2 linked regions of the Drosophila melanogaster genome follow. The protein of the gene in region 2 interacts with the protein of the main gene of each other region in a pairwise test. Each region holds a gene or a part of one and is shown on either strand. Other genes may lie near its edges.

Evidence for each region.
Region 1: the proteins of CG8840 (region 2) and hoe1 interact in a two-hybrid assay, tested with the Drosophila melanogaster proteins (one large-scale study listed by BioGRID).

The regions. Positions count from the first base shown.
Region 1 is NT_033779.5:4,929,240-4,934,192, reverse strand, and holds the start of hoe1 (hoepel1), read left to right. Parts: upstream 1-1,808; 5' UTR 1,809-2,100; coding exon 2,101-2,279; intron 2,280-4,953. Other genes in the region: hoe2 (hoepel2), read left to right, coding at 1-181, 234-908.
Region 2 is NT_033779.5:3,408,956-3,411,995, reverse strand, and holds CG8840 (uncharacterized protein), read right to left. Parts: upstream 1,437-3,040; 5' UTR 1,307-1,436; coding exon 890-1,306; 3' UTR 797-889; downstream 1-796.

The sequences.
Region 1 (4,953 bases), 1.5 Mb from region 2:
GGAGATGAAGGTGTGGCAGAGAGCCTTGAATGCAGTGGCCTCCTGTTCCAAGGATGCCCAGCTGGTGAGGGGAACGCTCCAGGCTAAGATTAAGCAACTGAAAAGGACCCTTAGAAGATTGCAAAAAGGTGTGGGCTCCACGGAGGTCTATACGAATACGCTGGACGAGCTCAAGCAGAAAGTAAGTGGATTTACTGAACTGGGATCTTTATAGCTGAGCAATCCATTTCCAGTACCCCATCAAAAACAAGACGCTGCTTTTGCAATCCGCTGGAGCCCTACTCTTCGTCATTGTTTGCTTCTTCATCCAATCCGTGCCGCACTGGAGGACATTACCCCTGGGTTGGGTGGCCCTGCTGGGTGTGATCCTGCTGCTGATCATCCTCAATCGCGATGACATGGAGCACTTGATGCACCGCATCGAGTGGACCACGCTGCTCTTCTTCGCCGCCATGTTCGTGATGATGGAATGCGTGGAGAGATTGGGAATCTTCGCCTGCATCAGTGAGCTCACCGAGCACGTTATCCTTTCGGTGGGAAAGAGTCATCGTCTGGCCATGGCCATCTTTATGATATTATGGATGTCGGCGCTGGCATCATCCATATTGGATAGTATTCCGGTGGCAGCCATAATGGTGAAGCTGGTGACCTCTCTGGTGGCCAAGCCATCGCTGGGACTGCCCCTCCAGCCACTGGTTTGGGCTCTGACCCTGGGCGCTTCGATGGGCGGAAATGGAACGCTCTATGGCGCATCAGCCAATGTCATTGCAGCCGGAATTGCCGAGCAACATGGCTATAAGTTGTCCTTCACCCGATATCTGAGAACAGTTTTTCCCATGATGCTGGGACAGATCACCCTGATGACTGTCTATCTACTGGTGGCGCATGTGGTCTTTGAATGGCATTGAGACTCCCTATTTAATACACATACTGAATAACATATTATTGTATCTAATGATGGAAAATGTTTTTCACTTCGAATCTAATCGTGTGTTTTTTTGTGTGAGTTTTACTGTAGTCTTTGTCCTTTTACATTCGCCTCTTGATGTGTTTCATGTGTTTTTGGCATATAAAATAAGAATATTTATATTTAAGCGTTCATTTGTGATTGGCAAATGTATAAAAATATACCATAAATATAAAAGTACACATGGTTTTTCGTTCGCCTTCGTGGAATTTGGCTGGACTGATGGAAATCACTTTTGGTAGTCCATCAAGGCGGTGTTTTTAATGTCGTGTGAAATGTTATAAATTTAGACTTTATTGTCTAAGGTCGAAGTGGGGAAATCGTGAAAATTCAACAGGCCATAAATACAAAACGAAGGAAAATTATAGATTTGATTTTCAAATTTCAATAAGAGGCAGTTCTACAAGTATTTAGATACATTTAAAATTCGAAGCGATGTCTGTATTTTAGAGATTTCAAAGCACAATATAAACATATAATAAGTTAAATTATAAATATCATAATTCTCGTGTTTTCTAGTTTATCCCATATGCACCTTGGTTTGGAAAACATAAACAAACGTAAATAATTCCTGAGACTGACCATTGCCAAGTTCAATGTTGACCAGAATATCCGCATATGAAAGTGCTTGCATGTACATATACATATATATTAAAAGCGAGTATATAGCATATAGTATATGGAAAGAAGACAACTGCTGGTCAATAAATGAGAATAAGACAATGTGGAAAAGCAGCGAGGGATTTCCTCGGGTGGTTGTTGCTATTTATTTGCTCTGCTACTGCTGCGCTTTCCACACTTTCCACAGCGCTCGTTCCATAGGTAAATTGTATTTTAAGTTCACAAACAAATGGCCACGAGGGATTGCGAATGGAGGAGGTGAAACGGAGGACCCGACCTGTCCGCCATGTGGAGAGGAGACTGCCAGCAGTTTTATGGCAGCCGCGAGAGGGAAAGTCGTGCCGACAACGACTGACTGAATTTTAATTAATTTGCGCCAAGGAATAAAGTGAAAATTGGAAATTGGCTTATTTGGCCCAGACTGGCCGCCCTGCAGGCCAAATAAAAATGTGATAAGCGTACGAAATTACGCCGAAATCGAGTTGGTTTTTTTTTTTGTAAGGTGAACCAAGATGACATCTCCCTATGGATACAGTAAGCCCACCTTTATGATAACGGACCACACTCGCGATCCGTATCATCTGCAGCCGGGTGATGACGACGACGATCGGGATGAGGATGAGGAGCGTCAGACGAAGCTGCAGGAGATCATCAGTTGGCTGCACTTGAATGCCAAGCATCGCAGCAAATGGTAAGTCGGCCGCATCAAGTATACGCCGCGGGTGGCCCATGCAAGTCAGCTTATATTGATATTAAGTATACGCCCGGTTGGCCACCGCCACTCGAAGTTTGAGTTGTTTATTTGCCCGGTTCCGTTTTCTCATTAGCCTGGCATTAAATTGTGCTGCAGGAGATGATGGACCCAAAACTTTTCCTTTTAATGTCCTGCTAAGCTTCTTAATAACGGTCCATTGGTTGCGACTTGTTTGTTTTCCGAGATGAAATCAACTCGAGGACATTTTGTGGATTTTAAGCCGCTGAGAGCCGCAACAGATGGTTTCCATTGAGATTGATTACAATTTATTTGTTTTTTAGTTGAAGCAGACACAGCAGTTTGTATATTTCATACTCCATATGCGTTGGAATTCCAGCAGAGTAATAAATGCGCTTTTCTTCGAAACTCTGATTGAAATGATACTCCTAATCCGAATTAATCATGTTTTTGTTTTGTTAGGGATTTTTTCCATTAGCTTGTGGTTATAACAAAATGCCAGGCACGAAGGTATTGTTGTATGCAATTTGTGTGAATAATTCGAAGAATAGTTGGCATATACCCATTTCCAATCCAAGCCAATCTTTTGTTCGAGCAATTCGCTTCTGGGAACTACCATTCGATATAGGTTGCTTATAATCGATAATGTAATACCTTGGACACGTGCAAAATAAACTGAAGTACGCAGTGCAATGTGGAGATTATAAATAAACAATGGGGAATAAATATTGACTTGCGTTGCATTATATTATTTTATTTATAGTTCTCTATTTCCGTTGGCAAATACGTGGTTCAGCAGCCTCCGCAGCTGTTTGTAGGTTTTTTTGTATTAAGTTAAGCATTCGAATTAAGTGTCGTATTCAAATTAGTGCACTCACTCCCACACAAAAATTATCGGTGTAGTGAAAACCTAGGGTAATGCGAATTACATACGCAGTTGGTCCTCAATTAAAAGTTCCGCCTTGTTAATTAACAATTAAAGGGAAAACTCGAGACGGTAAATCACTGAGTTCTCTGGTTTATAGCGCAGTTACACTTGGTTGCAATAGAGAAGGCTGCTCATAAATATACAGGGTGTGTGGAGTCGACTTACATACTTGGGAGCATTATAAAGCATTCATAAACAACGAATAATAAACAACAAAATATGTACAATAAGCAACAGAATTTCATACAGAAAATGATATATTTATATAAACTTAACGATTTTTCTTATAACTAGTTTCCGGGACACCCTGTTTCCATTTGACATATTCTTGACAATCAAACCTGAAGTGAGCTTAGCTTATTATATAAGCGCTCGTTATTTACATAATTATTGTTTATTTACTCACGCTGAGCATTTGTTGTATACATCTACGTCTTGACCATGTGTAGAATCCACTAAGTACTGTATGCATATTGGTTGCAATTAATTTGCATTTTTGCATTGGCTGATACCAAGTAATTACAGCTAACACATCGATAATTGCCGTTGGCCAATTGGCAAAGTTTATGGATACTAAAGAAAAGAGGGAAGGGTTAAATACAGTTGGGATTATGGGCTATAAGTTATTCGCACTGACAGCTAAACACTTTGATGTGGCTGCCCATTTTTACGCTGACTTTCTGACAAGCAAATGAAAAGTCATTCAGTAGTTTCAAGTCCACCCAGAACCACGTGATCCCTCCACGGAACATGCAACCCAAGTTTGGTGGTCCCACGATGACATACATATATGTATGTAGAGATATGTGTGGAAACTTGTCAATGGTTTGTTGGGTGGGTAGCTTGGTGGCATGAAGGAGGTGCGAATAACTATCCCTGTACATGAGGGTTTTCCGCTCACAATTTTCCAACAAACTGTAAATACACTTTTTCTGGTTGCCAAGGGATGAGCTTAGGGGCTGTAAAAGTTCCGGCTTGAATTTGGAATGTACTATGTGTCTCTATGGGGGCCAACCTTTGAGGCACAATTGAGTGGAAATGAATTATGTATTAGTTGTTATTATGAAATGGAATGTACTCAATAGCTTGGCTTATGTGGTATTACAGTTTTCAACCAACTATATTAATGTATTAAGAACGGAAATGTTAAGAGAAAGTAACTGCTGATAGCATTTAACCCATATAACTCCGAATCAACTGCACCCATGCCCCATATTATTCAGATGGATAAGCCGCAGAGACCTTGGGCGAAGATACAATTGTTATTGGAAGAAACACACCTATTGCGTCTCACTGTGGATATCATCAGCGTTATTATTACTATTATTGCCATCGTCTTATTGAATGTGGGTGAGGAAAATTGCGGAATAAAAGAGCATTAATATTCCAGCTTTAAAGTCGCTCAAATGTCAAACGGCTCGTGGCGAGAAATAATATATATATACACGAGTTCACTTTGAGTTCCTTGGAGTGTGTTTGCGTTTCATTGTCCGTGGCATTAGGGTTTTTGGGATTCGGATTGGGTCTCGCATTTGGATTGAGTTGGGGCACAGCAGAAGCTGTTTGCTGATAAACTCGCCTTTTGTCTGCCCATACAGAAGATACAAAAACGTACGAGAATGTGGCACACAAACCACACATGCAAATGGAACCGCGCGTGGACGTCTATATTGTCGGAATTGGAAGCTTCAGTGGGATTTATCAACTTTGGCCTATAAATAAACA
Region 2 (3,040 bases):
AAAATTGCAAAATAATGCAATGTTTTTTCGTTTATTCCAATGAAATTCGATACACTTTCTGGTAAATAAACTCTATGGCATTCCTCTTGAGAGTGGGCCAAATCGTCTGGCCGAGAACAGACGAAAAACAAGATTTCTGGGCCCATGATGGCATGTGGCATAAACAATATCTATTTTCTATCTGGGTTCGAGTTCAATGGTCACATTGTTGGCTTGTTTTTCAGCCAGCCGACGGAAGGGGCATATGTCAATATTTTTGGTTTCGAATGGCGTGCAGAGACTTTTAATTGAATTCTGTTGTTTTTTGGTGTTTTTTTGATTCTGGGAGTGGCGCCCAAAAAAAAAAAATAAACTCTGATTTGTAAGGCAGCAAAAGAAACGGAAAACACGAAACAGATTGCAATAAATGATAAAGTTTGGTCCAATCGCCTCTTCGCATTTTCTTGCATGCTCTATGGGAGAAAACTAAATTTGATACGTTCCAATTACTAAATTATGCAGTTAGGAGCTCTTTCGATGTGAAAATCATTCACCTGGAAGACTGCACACACCCAGACCATGGAGAAGTGGGAAAAACACGAAGACCCAACTGAAGATTAAAGAAATCGCCGCTCTACTATCGCCCAAAACAAACAGAAAACAGAATAAAACCAAATAATGGTTAGGCTTGAGTGATTATGGAGGAGATTATAAAAGCAAATTAAATTTGCAGAGAGACTGCAATAGAGGAAAGTAGGAAAATTGTCACTCAACTTAGTAACCCAAGTTGCTCAAATATTCTAGCAAAACTGCGCTTGATTTTCAATTTGTATATATTTAACTCACATACCAACTATTTAGTATAAACCATTGGTTTATGAAAGACGGAAAGTATTAAATTATGCTAAATCTAGTCGGCGTGCTCGCCATGGCCAAGTTCCTCGCAGGCCCGCTTCTCGGCCCCAATCTCGGCCAGCATTTTCTGGGTCTCGCGGGCCAAATTGACCAGGTTGTGGAGCCTGGTCTCCAGGGTATAGATTCGCCTTTGCTGGGCTTCGATAAACCTCCCATAGCGATTGTTGACCTCCAAACGGGACTCGGCCAGATTACGCCAGTAGTCTATGTCCTTCACCTCATGAAATGATGATGCCTTCTTGAGGTTTCCGATCAGAGTCATTATAACTTTGGCCAGGGATCGAAAGGAGACGCGAGTTGATCTCTTGTGTGTCCTTGGAACTGCCTGGGATGCCAGCGACTTGGATATAATGTCATCGATAACAGAATCGGCGGAATAGTCCGATTTCAGGGTCAGCTCCATGGAAGCCATCAAAGAATTCAGCTGCAAGTACGGAACTTGATCAGAGTTCAAATAGAAATCTTACTAATTTTGAAAGTATTTTGTATTGTCTTATGTAGTACAGTAAGGTATACTGTAGAAATCAGGCAGATATCCTATTCAAAGCCTGCTGTGCTATAAAAATAATCTGAAAAACAAAGTTCCTTTAAATCTACATAAATATATAAATGCATCATTGGTATCCTTTTAAGTATTTATAGCAATTTAATGGAGTTAGCCATTCGCAGATTATTATCTTTGCTCACAAATCATCGAAATGGCCAAATAAAGACAAGCTTCATCAGAACGCCATAAAATCGTATCACAATTTCCATATTTTCTCTGTGACCCCAAGCAAAAAAACAACAATCAATGCCATCCAATGGCTATGAACTCAATTCAAAACAATTCGTTTTTCTTTGCTCTTTCATCTGAATTTGGCTGGAAACATTGAACTCGAGCAGTAAACCCAGTGATGACCATTTATAGCAACTTGTTGCTCTGGTTTAGCATGACGCCAAAGTTGATGATAGTTTTTTATTTTTTTTTTTGCCAAATTGTAATAACAAGTCGCAGAAAACTAGAATTTGATGAGTGCCAAGTAGTTGATTTGGAGTCTTGACTTTGACCTTTTGAGTGGGCAAAAAGTTTCGTCTTTCCCTTTTGACGTCAGTGGCATAATTTTCCAGTCATTACTCTCCCGAGGATTTCCATAAATAGATACTATTTGCAGCGAGACTTGTTCTTCCCAAAGGACAAATAAATTTGCAAATGGAGAGGAAAGTTTGCATTTTTATCGTCCACCATTCTGTGATAAAAATAACTCAGCGAATTGAGTCGGATTTCTGATTAATTACAATAGCTCTGGCTCATTTGGCAATACGACTAACCAAAGGTTGCAGCTGCAATTTTCTGGATTACAAAGCGTTTCCGTTGGCTTAAAGCTTAGTGCTCACGCTGCGTATGCGTAATGCGTATGTGGTGGCCTATGCGAGAAATGAGGACACCACCCTCGAAGTGTTTGACATGTGAAGGCGAAACTGCTAAGGAGTTGCAGTAGGGGGTCATGATATTGAAACCATATTAATGTAAGGCGGAACGCTTTGAAAGCGAATTCTACGAACGATTATTTTCAAGGCCAAGACGAAGTTATTTTCGGGATATGTGGCCTTCTATATAAGTAAATATAATTACAGGGAACAAGCTCTATCCATTTATTTTCGTTTAAGTCTGAAAAGGTCTGCCAGTTAAATCCAAAGAATCCAACATCTGCTACGCAGCCAACCTTTTACAACTACTTGGCTGGCTAACTGACCCAGCTAAATTGACAAATGAATCATTTCACTCCGCTAAACAGTGACCGAATTTAGGAGGTCCTGGAAGAGGGTCCTTATATCACGGTCGGTTATTAATTGCCCTTTTGCGTTGAATCTATTTGTCAAGAGTTTTGTCAGAAGCTCCTTTATCGGCGGCCCTCTAACTCTGATTTATGTGTGGCAAACGTATTGAAAGCGATTTCCTTTCTTTTTTAGCTGACTTTGGCACTTTGCGTTGCACGTTGCGTATGCGTGATTTTAATTTTAAGTGGAGCCACTTTTTTTTCTGGCTCTTTGTTGCCTGCTTTTATGGGTCTTTCTTAGCCTGAAATATGTTGCCTTTTAGCTGAAAATTTGGAAGGCGTATTCAACACTAAGCTTACCCTTTATTATATTTGAATGTGCTTTT